3 linked regions of the Saccharomyces cerevisiae S288C genome follow. The gene in region 1 interacts genetically with each later gene. Each region holds a gene or a part of one and is shown in the gene's direction. Other genes may lie near its edges.

Region 1 (8,122 bases):
AGAGGTGAAGCAAATTCAGGAGCAAGTGCAAAAAAAGCAAACTGAAAGACAGCAACTGATAGACGAAAAGGAGAGGATAGCGAATGCAATATTTAAGGAGAACACTACTAATGATGGTACTGATATCAGGAAACATTCGGTATCGAGTGGTACGAGCAATAGCGAAGATGAAGTAGATTCACCTTCGATGGAAAAAAATTCTATCGTTCATATGCCAGGTGATTTTATCTACTTCAATCCCAAGTCAAACGCTTCTAAACCTATCACTGCAAAGGCGGCGCCATTATCGGCTAATAACTCCACACATAAAAACAAGGAAGTTATCACTGCACCCACAGGGCCTCGTGTACCCTTCACAGAGTTCTTTCAGAAGGAAGACGACAAGAAATTCCACATTCTCATTGGTGCGACGGGCTCAGTTGCCACAATAAAAGTACCTCTAATTATTGATAAACTTTTCAAGATATATGGGCCTGAGAAAATCTCTATTCAGTTGATTGTCACAAAACCCGCTGAGCATTTTTTGAAAGGGCTCAAAATGTCAACACACGTTAAAATTTGGAGGGAGGAAGACGCTTGGGTATTCGACGCTGTGAATAAGAATGATACTAGCTTGAGTCTGAACTTGATATTGCACCATGAATTAAGAAAATGGGCTGATATTTTCCTGATTGCGCCTTTGTCAGCTAACACACTTGCTAAACTGGCCAATGGTATATGTAACAATTTGCTAACTTCTGTGATGAGAGATTGGTCACCACTGACCCCAGTGTTGATTGCGCCTGCAATGAATACATTCATGTATATCAATCCTATGACAAAGAAACACCTGACGAGTTTAGTGCAAGACTATCCGTTCATCCAAGTTTTGAAACCGGTGGAAAAGGTATTAATATGCGGAGATATTGGTATGGGTGGTATGAGAGAATGGACAGATATTGTAGAGATCGTTAGGAGGAGAATCAATGAAATACGGAAAGCTAGGGACGAGGAAACTGGTGATAAAGAGCAAGAACAAGAAGAACAAGAGGGTGCTGACAATGAGGACGACGATGATGAGGATGACGAAGAGGATGAGGAGGACGAGGAGGAGGAAGAAGCTCTAAATGAAACAGCATCCGATGAGAGCAATGACGAGGAAGACGAAGAGGATGAGGAAGACGTGAAAACCGAAGTTTAAATGCATTAGAAAAGAGTATTTTGTGTTATGTTTTATGTTTTATTTTTTTTTTTTTTGTTTATTCCTTAAAAGAAGATTACTGCTTTTTCATTCCCTAGTTTCTAAATTGAGTGCCTAAATAAGATTAAATAAATATGTATGTGGAAACTAGGGAGGGTATGTTTTTATTTACAGGAATAGTTGTAGTAATTCAAAAGCCTAAAGATTTCCAGAACCGTAATCTAAAGCCCTCAAAACTGTTTAATTTTGGTCTAACATCGAGATAAATAAGTGGTTGTTGCTGCGAGTTTGCATCGTTCAGATCGGTGGAATAGAAATCGATTACGTAGTCGACGGTTTTACCGCATCTATCTATCTGCCAATCATGTCTATCAAAAGGTTTGGCCAGGTGCAAGATACGGGACCTGAACCAGGCCCTTGGTGTCAGTTTTTTGGAATCACCTTTAAAATTTGTTAATTTGATACCGCCACACGCTTCACCACCCTGCTTGTCTTCCCAGCTTTTAATGTAGTTCCAAACCCGCTCATTGATGGAGTTATGTAAAGGCACAACCACCTTCATGTCATCTGAGTTCGGATCCCAATTTTTTTTCATCATTGCCTCGTAAAATTGTTTCTCCGACGGGTATATCCAGTTTCTGTCAGAATTCGTCCTTGGTATGGTGGAAACCTCTCTGGACTGAGAGAGATCCACCGTGGTGTGATATTCAGGCGTTTTATCGTTATCTTGTGGGTTTGCAGAGCACTCTAGTTGATTGCCTGGGGCAGTAGCACCAGGATGCGCTTCGTTGCCATGTTCTCGTAGCCATAACTTTTTGGTTTCCTCATCTACGGGGCATTTCCCCTGTTGGTCTGAAGACATCATAATATGTAAAATAGAGACGAATGAAAAGCACGTGAACTAACAAACTATTTACTACTACCGAAATGTGATGCTTAAGCCTTTGGCCTCTGCAATACTAGCGATTGCTTTTTCCCTGATTAGTAAGCTACATCATTTATACTACATCTTTCTGTCTTAGAAGGCTTACAAACATCGAAAAGCTGGAACTTTGATTTCGAAAAAAATATGCCGTTACCCGTTGCGGGTCCCTTTTTTTTAGAAGGCCGGCCCAGAAGTCGCCATTATTTTTAGTCATTACAGTAGCCCTGTTGGGTAAGGATGCGATGCAATACATGTCAAGAGGTGTTGTATATAAACCACAATATCTACCATCAATGAGCTATATATACTTTTCTTACTGAAAAAAAAAACTACAAAACCAAGTAAAAAAAGAACAATATGTCACTACAAAGCAACAGTGTAAAACCAACAGAAATTCCTCTCTCAGAGATCAGACGCCCCCTAGCGCCTGTGTTGGATCCTCAAAAGATCGACGCAATGGTGGCCACAATGAAGGGCATTCCCACCGCTAGCAAGACATGCTCTCTAGAACAGGCTGAGGCGGCTGCCTCAGCCGGGGAACTGCCGCCCGTGGACGTGCTGGGCGTGCGAGTCAAGGGACAGACGCTATATTATGCCTTCGGCGGCTGCCACCGTCTACAGGCATACGACCGCCGGGCTCGCGAAACGCAGAACGCCGCCTTCCCCGTGCGCTGCAGGGTGCTACCGGCCACTCCCCGCCAAATCCGCATGTACCTGGGCAGCAGTCTCGACATCGAATAATGATTACGCTAATAACACTACATAAGAAACATAGATAAATTATAATTCACTAATACAAAATCCCTCAATTTAATTAATCAATTTCTTATTCAACAACTAGAGTAGGCACTAGCAGTTTGTGCGACCCTCGGCGCCGGAGAGGTACAAGGGACCTGGCGGTTGGGCCTTCCTGCCAGCTTCTCCCCCCCTTCTCGGCATTCACTCAGCGTTCATTGGCTCAATCACGCGCCAAGCGGATTCCCAGAAAAATACAAAAAAAAGTTGCCATAATACAATGGCGGATATTACAATATATATAGCTTGCGCTTTAAAAAGAAGTGTTAGCACGCATTGGGTGTTTGTACTGTATTCCTCCACTTAAGATAACGAATACACATATAGATATACAATATATTATACGTGGACATCTACGGAAAGGAAGAAAAAAAACAAAAGGAAAAGGAAGGATACCATATACAATGTTGTCAAGAGTAGCTAAACGTGCGTTTTCCTCTACAGTTGCCAACCCTTATAAAGTGACTGTTTTGGGTGCAGGCGGTGGTATTGGACAACCATTGTCTTTGCTTCTAAAGCTTAACCATAAAGTCACGGACTTAAGACTGTACGACCTAAAGGGCGCAAAAGGTGTTGCCACCGATTTGTCTCATATTCCAACAAACTCCGTGGTCAAGGGGTTTACTCCAGAAGAGCCAGACGGATTGAACAACGCTTTAAAGGACACAGACATGGTTTTAATTCCTGCTGGTGTGCCCAGAAAGCCTGGTATGACACGTGATGACTTGTTCGCCATCAACGCAAGCATCGTTCGCGATTTGGCAGCAGCAACCGCCGAATCCGCTCCCAATGCTGCCATTCTGGTCATTTCCAACCCAGTCAATTCTACCGTTCCAATTGTCGCCCAAGTCTTGAAAAACAAGGGTGTTTACAACCCAAAGAAATTGTTCGGTGTGACTACCTTGGACTCTATTAGAGCCGCCAGATTCATCTCAGAAGTCGAGAACACCGATCCAACTCAGGAAAGGGTTAACGTCATCGGTGGACATTCTGGTATTACCATCATCCCATTGATTTCGCAAACAAACCATAAGTTGATGTCTGATGACAAGAGACACGAATTGATTCACAGAATACAGTTTGGTGGTGACGAAGTCGTCAAAGCAAAGAATGGTGCTGGCTCTGCTACGTTGTCAATGGCCCATGCTGGTGCTAAATTCGCTAACGCTGTTTTGTCCGGTTTCAAAGGCGAAAGAGACGTCATCGAGCCTTCCTTCGTGGACTCTCCCTTGTTCAAATCCGAAGGCATCGAATTCTTTGCATCTCCGGTCACTTTGGGCCCAGATGGTATTGAAAAGATCCATCCAATAGGTGAGTTATCTTCAGAAGAAGAAGAAATGCTACAAAAATGTAAAGAAACCTTGAAGAAGAATATCGAAAAGGGTGTCAACTTTGTTGCTAGTAAATAGATTGTTCAAGATCAGAAATAGAGTGAAAAATAGGGAAAAAAAAAAAAAAATTCTACTAATAAGAACGGAAGACTACTCGCCATCATGAGATTACGACATCTTTTTTATTTAATTCTTTGTTATATTTAGCCAATTGAAAGGAAGGAAACTGCCAAAAATCAACTAGAGAAAAATTCATGCTATTCGTTGCTCCTACACCTTTTTTTCTTCCGTAGACGAGGAAAAACAAAAATGATTAAATAGGCGCGCGCGGTGTGATGGTGATGATAATGATGATGATGATGATAATGATGAATAAACGTTTCGGTTTACGAGTTTCTTTAAATATACATATATGATATAAAAAAAAAAATACGTACCACTTACAATTTGCAAATATAGATGATCGAAACTGCCATTTATGGTAAGACAGTGGATGACCAATCTCGATGTGTCCACTGGCATCTTCCAAAGGATGTAATTGCCATCAGGTTTAAATGTTGTGATAAGTACTATGCGTGCTTTGAATGCCACCAAGAGTTAAGTTCTCACCCGCTAGAAAAATATGATCTCCTTGACGATGCAAATAAACACTTGATTATTTGCGGAGTTTGCCGTCATGAAATGACGTTTGCAGAGTATTACGACTACAATTCAAACCTTATTTGTCCCAATTGCAGATCCCCCTTTAATCCAGGCTGTAAATTGCACTACCATTTGTATTTCCAGAACCCTCCCCCCGCTATGTGTTGAGTGTTGTTCTATAAATGCATGCCATCTTAAGCTCTGCTGTGCTCTTCTCGTTAAGGAAAAAATGCGATGGTATATATATAGATATATATATATATATATGTATCTGTATATATATGTTCATACATATATATATATCTATTATTGTTGTTATTATTATCGTGATTATTATTTAGGTCCTCCCTTCTTTTTACCTGTTTTTAATCTACCCTCAAATCCGGCTCTTTTCTTTGGTACGGCACTACCGACATACTTTCTTTTCATCTTTTCTTGCTTATTTCTCTTTTTACCCTTGTTGTCTTTCCTAATCCTCAGATTCTCTTCTCTTCTCTTTTGTCTTTCAGATATCGTGTCTTCCACAACCCTCTTACGTTCGCTCCATTCAATCGCAGACTTTCTCTTTTGTGCTTCCTTTCTCTTTATAGCTTTGCGAAGTAGTTTTTCGTCATCCCTAATCTTAATTCCTTCTGCTTGTAACATAGCCTTTTGCCATTTTTCCTTTTCCTTCTGCTTGATTTGTTCTAGTTCGTCTTTCGCCTCCATCTTATTCTTCTTGGCTTCTAATAACTTTAAGTGTGATTTTACATCATTCTTAGCCGGACCCTTCGTTCTACCAGCTTTTCTTAACCTTTGTAAATCTGAAGTGGCCCTTGCACCATCATCGAATATGATATTTTGAAACATTACACCATCTGCGTTAATTTCTGAGTCCTTCTTGCCTTTTTTGAATCTTTTTTTCGAATTGTTTTCTAAATCACTATCGATGTCTTCCATATCGGAATCAGACGCAATTTCATCCTGATCCTGTTCCTGTTCACTTTCTAGACGCTTTCTTTTTTTCAACTCTTCCTTGCGTTTCCTTTGAGCAAGAATAGCCTCTCTAGAACCGGGTGCTTTCCTTTTACTCTTCATATCTGAAATTTTCGCTTGTAACTTGGAACGTAGTGCTTCCAAGTTTTTCTTTCTTTGTAGTTTCTCTTCCTCTGTAATAGACTTCTTTTCGACAGATCTATCGGGCTCTGTAGTATCTTTTTTAGATTCTAATGGTATTTCATTTCCCTCATCATCAAAGATCACCTTAATATCCTCTTCCTCTTCTTCATCTTCGTCTGGTGCTATTATCATAGGATCGTTTACTTCTACGTTCAGGTCGGAGTCTCCTTCCACTTTTGATGTTGCTTCCTTTTGCTTTTGCATTTTCATGTGCTTGAATTTTTCACCAGGTAGGACCACCGGCTTTGCGTCTTTCTCCTTCTTCTTCATTACTTCTAATGTACTAGATGTTTCATCATCACGTTGCTCCGGGTCTAATTTTTTCAGTTTATCATTTTTACTCTGTTCTTTGGTTTTCTTCTTGGCCTTCCATTGCTCTTGACTTTTTTCATCATAATAGTATTTTGCAGGAATTAAAGCCAATAAACCATCGAAGGCGCTTGAATTAGCACGAAGGCGCTCCTCAAGTGAATTACTCATCTCAGTCTCCTATATCTTTCAATTCCCGGACTTTCTTTATCACTTGCAACAACGTCTCAGTCCTCACTTGTTATTCATCTCTTGGTCATCTCATCTCTTTTATTGTACTTTCCTCTTTTCTTTACCGGAGATGAGAATAAAAAGAATTCATTTTAAAAAATTTTCAATTTGGTGTCTGGGTGAAACTTTTTAATCGTGTAATCCCAATTAAACCACTCTACTTTACTTTAATTGGTACACGAACTCATTACACACCTTTGCCTCTATTGCTTGTGTCAATCGTGTTGAGAGAGGAAGCCCAAAACAAGGGAAATTAACCTCTGTAGGCAAGCCATCACATTTGGCAATAGCAGCCCTCATTTAATTTAATTCGGCATGTGGCCGGCAGGGTAATGCGCTCTGCTGCTGACAAAATTGAAAGAAAAATTTTTTTCATCAACAGTTTGCAATACTTTCTTTTTCATATTTAATTCATCCATTCCGTCGTTAATTTTGTTCAAAACTGGTGTCCATCCTTAATACCAACTCAATTCTTTGATTTTGGCCCTCGATAGATTCAAGATGTCCCAAGGTACTTTATACATTAATAGATCTCCAAGAAACTACGCTTCTGAAGCTTTGATTTCTTACTTTAAACTAGATGTCAAGATCGTTGATCTAGAACAATCTAGCGAGTTTGCTTCTTTGTTCCCATTGAAGCAAGCCCCTGCATTTTTGGGTCCAAAGGGCTTAAAGCTAACTGAAGCTTTGGCTATCCAATTTTATTGTATGTTCCATATTTTATTTTAACACTTCCACATACATTGTTTTGCGCGTTTCCCGTTCGTTTATTTGGCACGTCATTTTTCTTCGAAACATAATGATGAAAAAAAATTTTATCAAACAGTTATCCCTGTCTGAATGGGTAATAATAGGTAACCTCTCATATGTTGATATTTGTATTTCTGATATGTTTCTTAAAGAAAAATGAAAGTCAAAATAACAAAAAGGAAGTACAAAGCGTGTCCTAATCCAGGAAAAAATATAAAGGATTGTTTTACTAACATTTCTTCAATTAATGGTTGTATAACCATCGAGATGATGTATATTTAGTGGCTAATCAAGTTGCCGATGAAAAAGAAAGAGCTCGCTTATTAGGTTCCGACGTTATCGAAAAGTCTCAAATCCTTAGATGGGCATCTCTAGCTAATTCCGATGTCATGAGCAACATTGCTCGTCCATTCCTTTCTTTCAAAGGTTTGATTCCATACAACAAGAAAGACGTTGATGCTTGTTTTGTTAAAATCGACAACCTAGCTGCTGTCTTCGATGCTAGATTGAGAGACTACACCTTTGTTGCTACCGAAAACATTTCTCTAGGTGACCTTCATGCCGCTGGTTCTTGGGCTTTTGGTTTGGCCACTATTTTGGGCCCTGAATGGAGAGCTAAGCATCCTCATTTGATGAGATGGTTCAACACTGTTGCTGCTTCTCCAATCGTGAAGACTCCATTTGCTGAAGTCAAATTGGCTGAAAAGGCTCTAACCTACACTCCACCAAAGAAGCAAAAGGCTGAAAAGCCAAAGGCCGAAAAGTCAAAGGCTGAAAAGAAGAAGGACGAAGCTAAGCCAG
Region 2 (3,036 bases), on another chromosome or scaffold:
TGGCTCCTCTTGTTAACGAATTGCTGCTCCCGGTATTGGTCGAAGAACAAGACATGGAAATTCTCAACCTAGTATCGTTTCAAGTGCTCCCCGATTTAGTTCTTTCTATGATCAGCGACCCTGCAGCTGCTCAGTTGGGATGGGTAATAAGCTTGATATGCGACCCTTTATTAAACCAAAGCATGATACATGCAAATCGTTCTTTTGTTCTGATTGAGACACTAAGAAATGTGTTACAAAAAATTGAAAACTCCCCTCATTTAGATTACCACCAACCAGTAAACAGTTCATTAGAGTTTATCTCCAAATTTATTGTTGAAATGAAAAGGCATATGTGTGATGTGGATGCTGCGCAGCTTTCACATTCACTTTCTGAAAGCAATATGCTAATTTACATAGAATCCCTTAATCTATTGCTAAAATTTAGCTTCTTTTCAGACGCGGCAAGTCCTTCAGTAATGGTCACACTGCCCTTTGATATTTTGAATGACGTTTTTACAATTGCGCAGGACTATTCTGCTACGAATACAAATGAAAGCATTGATAGGATCACAGAAAAATTACTTTTGACTTCTACGCAATTAACTCATCCGGTGGACCTGGAAAATTTATGCCCCAAAATGAAGTACAATACTTTAGCAGCAGTTTCTCGAATATGGTACAAATTTGGCCCCATAGTCGATAAATTATTTACTAACCGGCTATTACCGGTTCTATTCCCCCCGCAAATGGGAGAAGAATGTAACGTCGAAGATGTTCTCGAAATAGTTCATAACTTCCATCCATATTTTTCTATTCGTAGGCTAAAGGATAATAGGCCTCTATTGTCAGATTCGACTATTAGCCAGCTAAGAGAGGGTTTGTTTGGTATGCTCAGCATATTAAACGACTCGCTGACAAGGACGCAAAATGAAAACGACCATGGTAGCGACAATCTGATCGACAGTGACGACGGATTTGGCTCAGACAACGATCCTGAACAACAAGCGTACCTCGATGAACTCGTATCAGAAGGTTATGACGAAAACATGTATGACGGTGATACGGATGACGAAGACGCAGATGATATAAACGTTGAAAAAAATGATGAAGCCACCAAAGACATTACAGAAACGAACAAAATCCTTTTAATCTTTTCTGAGTTACATTATCCTCAGGAGGAGCGCTTCTCTGAACTGTTGGTTGAGTTGCAGACTAAGATCGCTATAAACACATCCTTAATTGATAAAATTCTTTCAAAAGAGACAACAGAATTACCCACTCACAATGGGGAAATCGCAGATTTGAACGAAATTCTAAATGAAGTGAAAGGCAATAAACCAATTAGAAAAAACGTTATTTTTTGTACGTTAGCGCATACTTTGTCGTTGCAATCCGGTTCCGAATTGTCTGTTCTACAGCTATCAATAGAGGTTATTGATCATCTGCTGGTTAAAAATCATTCAAATAACATCACTCGTGGCGAGCAATTTCAATTGATTAAGTTGATATTACCCCATCTAAAAACAAATAAATCTTTTATTGATACATTAAAAGCAGGAAATTTTACCCAAAAAATTGATGAAGGAGTGACCTTAAGAACAATGATTCTTTCTCTACTACTACAACTATTCCCACTGGATTACTCTATGCTAGGTGAGATTTTACCCACTATTGCGCGATATTCTGTAAGGGATAAGGATCTTGGGGTGAGAGATCTGTCCTTCCAATTGCTGGACCAAATTCTACGCACATACTATAATTACCTAATTGGTATCGATTGGGAATGGTATAAAGATGACTTCTATCAAGTTTTGCAAGAAACTTGTATTAAAAAAGACATAAATACCAACCTCTTGCTACAATTTCCTCCTTATCTCCCTCATGACTAGATAGTTTTATACCAAATACATCATGCATCTTTTTTTTTTCCTTATAGTTTGTGTCATCAACATGTTTTTGCCCGTATTAATACACAATAATCTATCCTCTCAGGCAGGGAGAAGAAAACTAAATATACATAGCACCCTCACACAGGATGTCAAAACTATCGTCTTATCCTCATGCCGCCGATTTTATAAATATGGAAGAACCGCCAAAATCTAAAGAGTTTTTCGATGATCTTTGTGCCGTCCCTAATTTACTCAAAAGACGTTTTCCAAACTCTCGAAGATCGACGCATTATTGTGAGGCTTTAAATTATTCTAGGAAAAAGCTTCCTGTTGTGTTGTCTAAAATGACACTGCAAGAGTTGAGGCACAATATGTCAACATTTTTTTTGCAGGAAAAGGATCAAATAAATATTTATGACACCTGTAAGGTGATAGACATGGGGGACCGTGTCTTGCTCGAAACTATGCCTCCACAGCCAAGAGATTTATTTGAAAAATTGCATGCAAGTAAAACAAATTTAGTAGTTCAGACAGCAGCTTTGGATGAACCCCTACTTACAGTAAAAGCAGAGCTACAGTCATCTTCCTTTCCACAAAAATCAAGCCTATTTCTGTATGAGGATTATAAAAAATTTATTTATCAACAACTAGATATGTTTAGTTAATTACTTACGAAAAGAGAGGCTATTGTTTATTGTTGGCCATTTTATTTATTATTATTTTTTTCCACCTTAGCATAAGGAAACACGATTTGGATTTCAAAAGTAGAGCTTTAATAACAAAAGATAAACAACCACAGTGTCAAGAACGGTTACAACGAGAAGGATAGGCTGATGATTTATCAAACATCTTCTTATTGGTTCCTAGTAATTTCCCTATTTTTGAGCAACAAAATGTCGGGATAATATTCTCATAATACTCAAACACTCTTAATATCATATATATATATATACAGTCATTTTTTGTTATTCGTTACCCGAACTTCTTTATTATTATAACCAGGGAACATCAATAACGAGCTACAATAATCATGTTCATCTCCCTCATTGTCTCTTATTTGATGTTACACACGCTTTTCTAGCATAGGAGGAACTTCCATATGCATACTAATAGATCATGCTCAGAAGACACGGATTATTCTGGTTAAAGACATGTCCCCGTCTAA
Region 3 (3,745 bases), on another chromosome or scaffold:
TATATTATAATACTGCTATCTATACATTTGATAATCGATAATTATTCGAAAGAAGGTATATCATACGGGGTTCTGAACGTGCTGGCCAACTGCTGCCTATTTTAGGTGTACTTTTTTACTTCTTATCACCAACAATCACGCAAACATAAAATTTTTATTTATACATATATATTTGATGCAATTTCTGCCTTAAAGTACAAAATGCTTATTCCGTAGTATCCATGGCATCAGGGTCTGCTGATTTAGCAATGGATATTTGAACGTTGCCCTGATCATCAATATATTGTGACTCGTTCTCTTGAACATACTTAACAGATCTAGCGCTGTCCAAAAATAGCAAATAAGCCCTTTTGACATCTTCCACTTCAACAGTGTTGTTTTTTCTCTTCATTGCAATTTGCTGAGCAACAGAGATTAAATTACTGCTGTAACGCAAACTAGTTTCCACACCTGTTTTGGTCAATAGATCTAAGGCATCGGATGACAGTTCAACTTCCTCCTCTTGTGCTCTTATAGATAAAATTGTCTTAATCTCCTGCTCATTATAACTTTTAGTTGTAATAATAATTGACCTATCCAAAAGATCGAGAGGTAACCCATGTGGAGATTTGTAATTAGTCCCTCTGGTTTTGGAAACTCCTCTATTTGTAGCCATCATGACGATTGGGGCAAACTCATCTTCCAAAGCCCTATTTATAAAGGAAAAACATTCTATATCCAACATGTGGACTTCGTCGATAAATAATACACCAGGAACAATTTCTGCTTTACCTTCTTCTTTCCATTCTGCCACTTTTGTGTTTATCTGGTCTCTTACCTCTGACCTAATTTCACCGGTGTCACCAGTAAATAATGCCAAAAATCCTTGTGTTCTTGAATTAATAACATCAATTTCATGCAGTGACACCGTGTGAACCACTGTTTTCCTTTTTTGCAGTTCGCCTTCCGGACATTGAACAAATCTGGTATCAGCACCCATGGCATCATAATCCCTAGATCTAGCAAAGGATCTGCCTAGCTTGGTAATCTTCCCACTAGCTTTATCAATAGAAATAACATCGCCAGCCAATACCTTTTCTTTAGTTAGGCCATCAATCATTTTATTGCCTAATTCATAAATTGTTTCCATATCGGTAGTTTTAATAGTCAATTTTCCTTGTTTGTGTCCACCAGTAATAGATCTATCAATTTGAATTTCCACGACTTCACCTTCAATCAATTCTGTCTCCTCCTTGATTTTGATACCGATGGATTTCCTAAAAGCTTGAGTTAGTGCTTCAGTTTTACTCAATTCTAAAGAAAAGATTTCTGAGCCCGCAATAGCAGTGAATGGTACATCTTTACCCAGAGACTGGGAAACACCCATGGCAAGAGCGGTCTTACCAGTTGAAGGGGGGCCCGCTACCAAAACAGCCCTACCTGCTATGGTGCCATTTTGAACCATTTTCAATATCACACCAGCAGCACGACGGGCTTGCAATTGCCCAACCATACCTTCGGATGTGGGACGTGGTTGCAAGTTTTCATCTAGACCTAAACCTGTAATATGGGAGTGGGCAGCAATTAAAGATAACGACTTTAAATCTGATGTTTCATTTGGATCACTAGTTTGAATCGACATGCTGACAATTTTTTTTATTTCCTTTCAAAGTAACTTGTGCTAGACTGCTAGAGAAAGTAGTATTGCTGGCTTCAACTAACTGAACTTCTTTCTCTCGTTTCCCGTGTGAATGTACAGTCTTCATTTAGCTTTCATCTTCTATTGAAAACCTTCAAAAAGTTCGCTGAAAAAAATAATTTTCACGTTTCTTTCAAACTGATCACGTGAAAGGGAGTTAAATAGACTTTAATAAGTGTAGAAACAAAGAAGTAAAGAAAACCGCTATATTGGGTCTAACCAATACGACTGATACAACTGTGTTGACCCCCAAAGTTTACATAATTTGCTCTTTTTCTTTTTTGCAAGATCCTTTCTGTTTTGATAAGTCCTGTCTTATGACACCGAGTTAGGGACATTTTCGGTATCTGGTTTTGTAAGATGTTGAACCATACTTTCTCCAAAAAGACGAAACAGAGAGTAGACAAAAAGAGCCTGTAATCTCAGCGACTGACTAGGGATAAAATAACGATTGTACCATCTTATCCGATCAATGATTTCTATTGTATTGGAATTGTTCCAGAACTTGTGCTGCTGTCGCGGATTTTCCGATGCTACTATTAGGGTAAATGATAAACGATATAGGATTCAACGACTACTTGGAGAAGGTGGAATGTCCTTTGTGTATTTGGTACAACTGTCAAAGAATTCTCTGATTATAGACAACGGCATCGCAACACCAGAATTATACGCACTAAAGAAGATTATTTGTCCTAGTGTGGAAAGTATATCCAATGGTATGCGAGAAATTGAAAATTACAAACGGTTTCAAAGTCCTTATGTTATAAAAAGTATCGACTCACAAGTAATGCAGGAAAAAGATGGGTCAAAAACAATTTACATAGTACTACCCTATTATTCATTAGGGAGTTTACAAGACTCTATTAATCGGAGGTTACTCGAGGGCACCTTTGTATCAGAGGCAGAATGCGTAAGGATAATGCTTGGAGTTACAAGAGGTTTACTTTGTTTACATGATCCTGCGTCAAGACAAGATAACGCTACTTCCAGAGTAAATGTCGATGCGGTTTCTATGACTTATAGCGATGAAACGGCGATGCTCCTAGAAGACACCCCCTTAGAGATGGACATGCTTTCCTCCAACTCAGCAGGTTCAATAGCATATGCACATCGCGATATTACACCTTCAAACATTTTGTTCTCTTCAGACGGTTTACCAGTAATTGGTGACCTCGGCTCCTGCTCTCAAGCTGATATAACAATTGAAAACAGACATCAACTCAGCGAACTACAAGAATGGGTCAATGACAATTGTACGTTGCCATATACTCCACCAGAACTTCTGAACTTGAAATTAAATCAGGTTTTGAGCTCTAAGGTTGATATTTGGTCTTTGGGTTGTACGTTCTATACTTTAATGTTCGGTATCTCCCCCTTTGAGCGAGAAGAGCAGATACATGGAGCTTCTTTAACCTACGCTATAAACACTGGTAAGTACAGTTTCCCGAGAAATTCCAGATTTTCTGAGGGGCTTTTGAGTGTAATCAAGAAATGCATTCAAGTGGATCCTATACAAAGGCCTACTACCAGCCAATTATTAAATCTTTTACAAGATTTAGACACTTGATCGGTTTTGCTTCTCAAAGCTTTTTCCTGTCCTTGGGAAGTAAACAGGACACGATGATTGGCTGGCTCCATGCAATGTGTTCACTCTGATCAATGAAGATTACCTACCGCTGTTTAGATTTATTTTGTGAATGAAAATTTTTACTTTAAGTTTTTCTTCATTTAAACATTAAATATCTAATGAAACGAATAAAATACACAAGATAAACGAAATCCGTATTTATTATATATATGCTAACAGGTAAAGCACCAACATCACATTCTCCTTCTCTTACCAACGGTAGCTTGGAAACCGGTTTTAATAGAAGAGACGGATCTGGTAGAACCACAACTTTTACAGACCATAAAGAACAGTCTGTTTGACTGTTCTCTCTTCAATTCGGTGTTAATACTCTTACAAGTTTTACAAGTGACATACTCCAAAATGTATCTTCTTAAGACATTCTCCATTTGTTTGGATTGAAACTTACCCTTAATGACTAATCTTTTCTGACCGTCAAC

The links.
Region 2: mutations in HOT13 (region 1) and YOL024W together harm fitness more than expected from each alone (negative genetic interaction), as found in Saccharomyces cerevisiae (one large-scale study listed by BioGRID).
Region 3: mutations in HOT13 (region 1) and ENV7 together harm fitness more than expected from each alone (negative genetic interaction), as found in Saccharomyces cerevisiae (one large-scale study listed by BioGRID).

What each region holds. Positions count from the first base shown.
Region 1 is NC_001143.9:275,819-283,940, forward strand, and holds HOT13 (Hot13p), read left to right. Parts: upstream 1-4,690; coding exon 4,691-5,041; downstream 5,042-8,122. Other genes in the region: phosphopantothenoylcysteine decarboxylase complex subunit CAB3, read left to right, coding at 1-1,180; cytochrome c1 heme lyase CYT2, read right to left, coding at 1,371-2,045; SRX1 (sulfiredoxin), read left to right, coding at 2,463-2,846; malate dehydrogenase MDH1, read left to right, coding at 3,305-4,309; ribosome biosynthesis protein RRP14, read right to left, coding at 5,207-6,511; TEF4 (translation elongation factor EF1B gamma), read left to right, coding at 7,073-7,277, 7,604-8,122. UniProt on the Saccharomyces cerevisiae protein: Required for the assembly or recycling of the small Tim proteins in the mitochondrial intermembrane, thereby participating in the import and insertion of multi-pass transmembrane proteins into the mitochondrial inner membrane.
Region 2 is NC_001147.6:275,069-278,104, forward strand, and holds YOL024W (uncharacterized protein), read left to right. Parts: upstream 1-2,017; coding exon 2,018-2,536; downstream 2,537-3,036. Other genes in the region: LAG2 (Lag2p), read left to right, coding at 1-1,871; IFM1 (translation initiation factor 2), read left to right, coding at 2,988-3,036.
Region 3 is NC_001148.4:101,108-104,852, reverse strand, and holds ENV7 (putative serine/threonine protein kinase ENV7), read left to right. Parts: upstream 1-2,150; coding exon 2,151-3,245; downstream 3,246-3,745. Other genes in the region: RVB2 (RuvB family ATP-dependent DNA helicase reptin), read right to left, coding at 206-1,621; SUI3 (translation initiation factor eIF2 subunit beta), read right to left, coding at 3,500-3,745. UniProt on the Saccharomyces cerevisiae protein: Serine/threonine-protein kinase involved in vacuolar processing and morphology.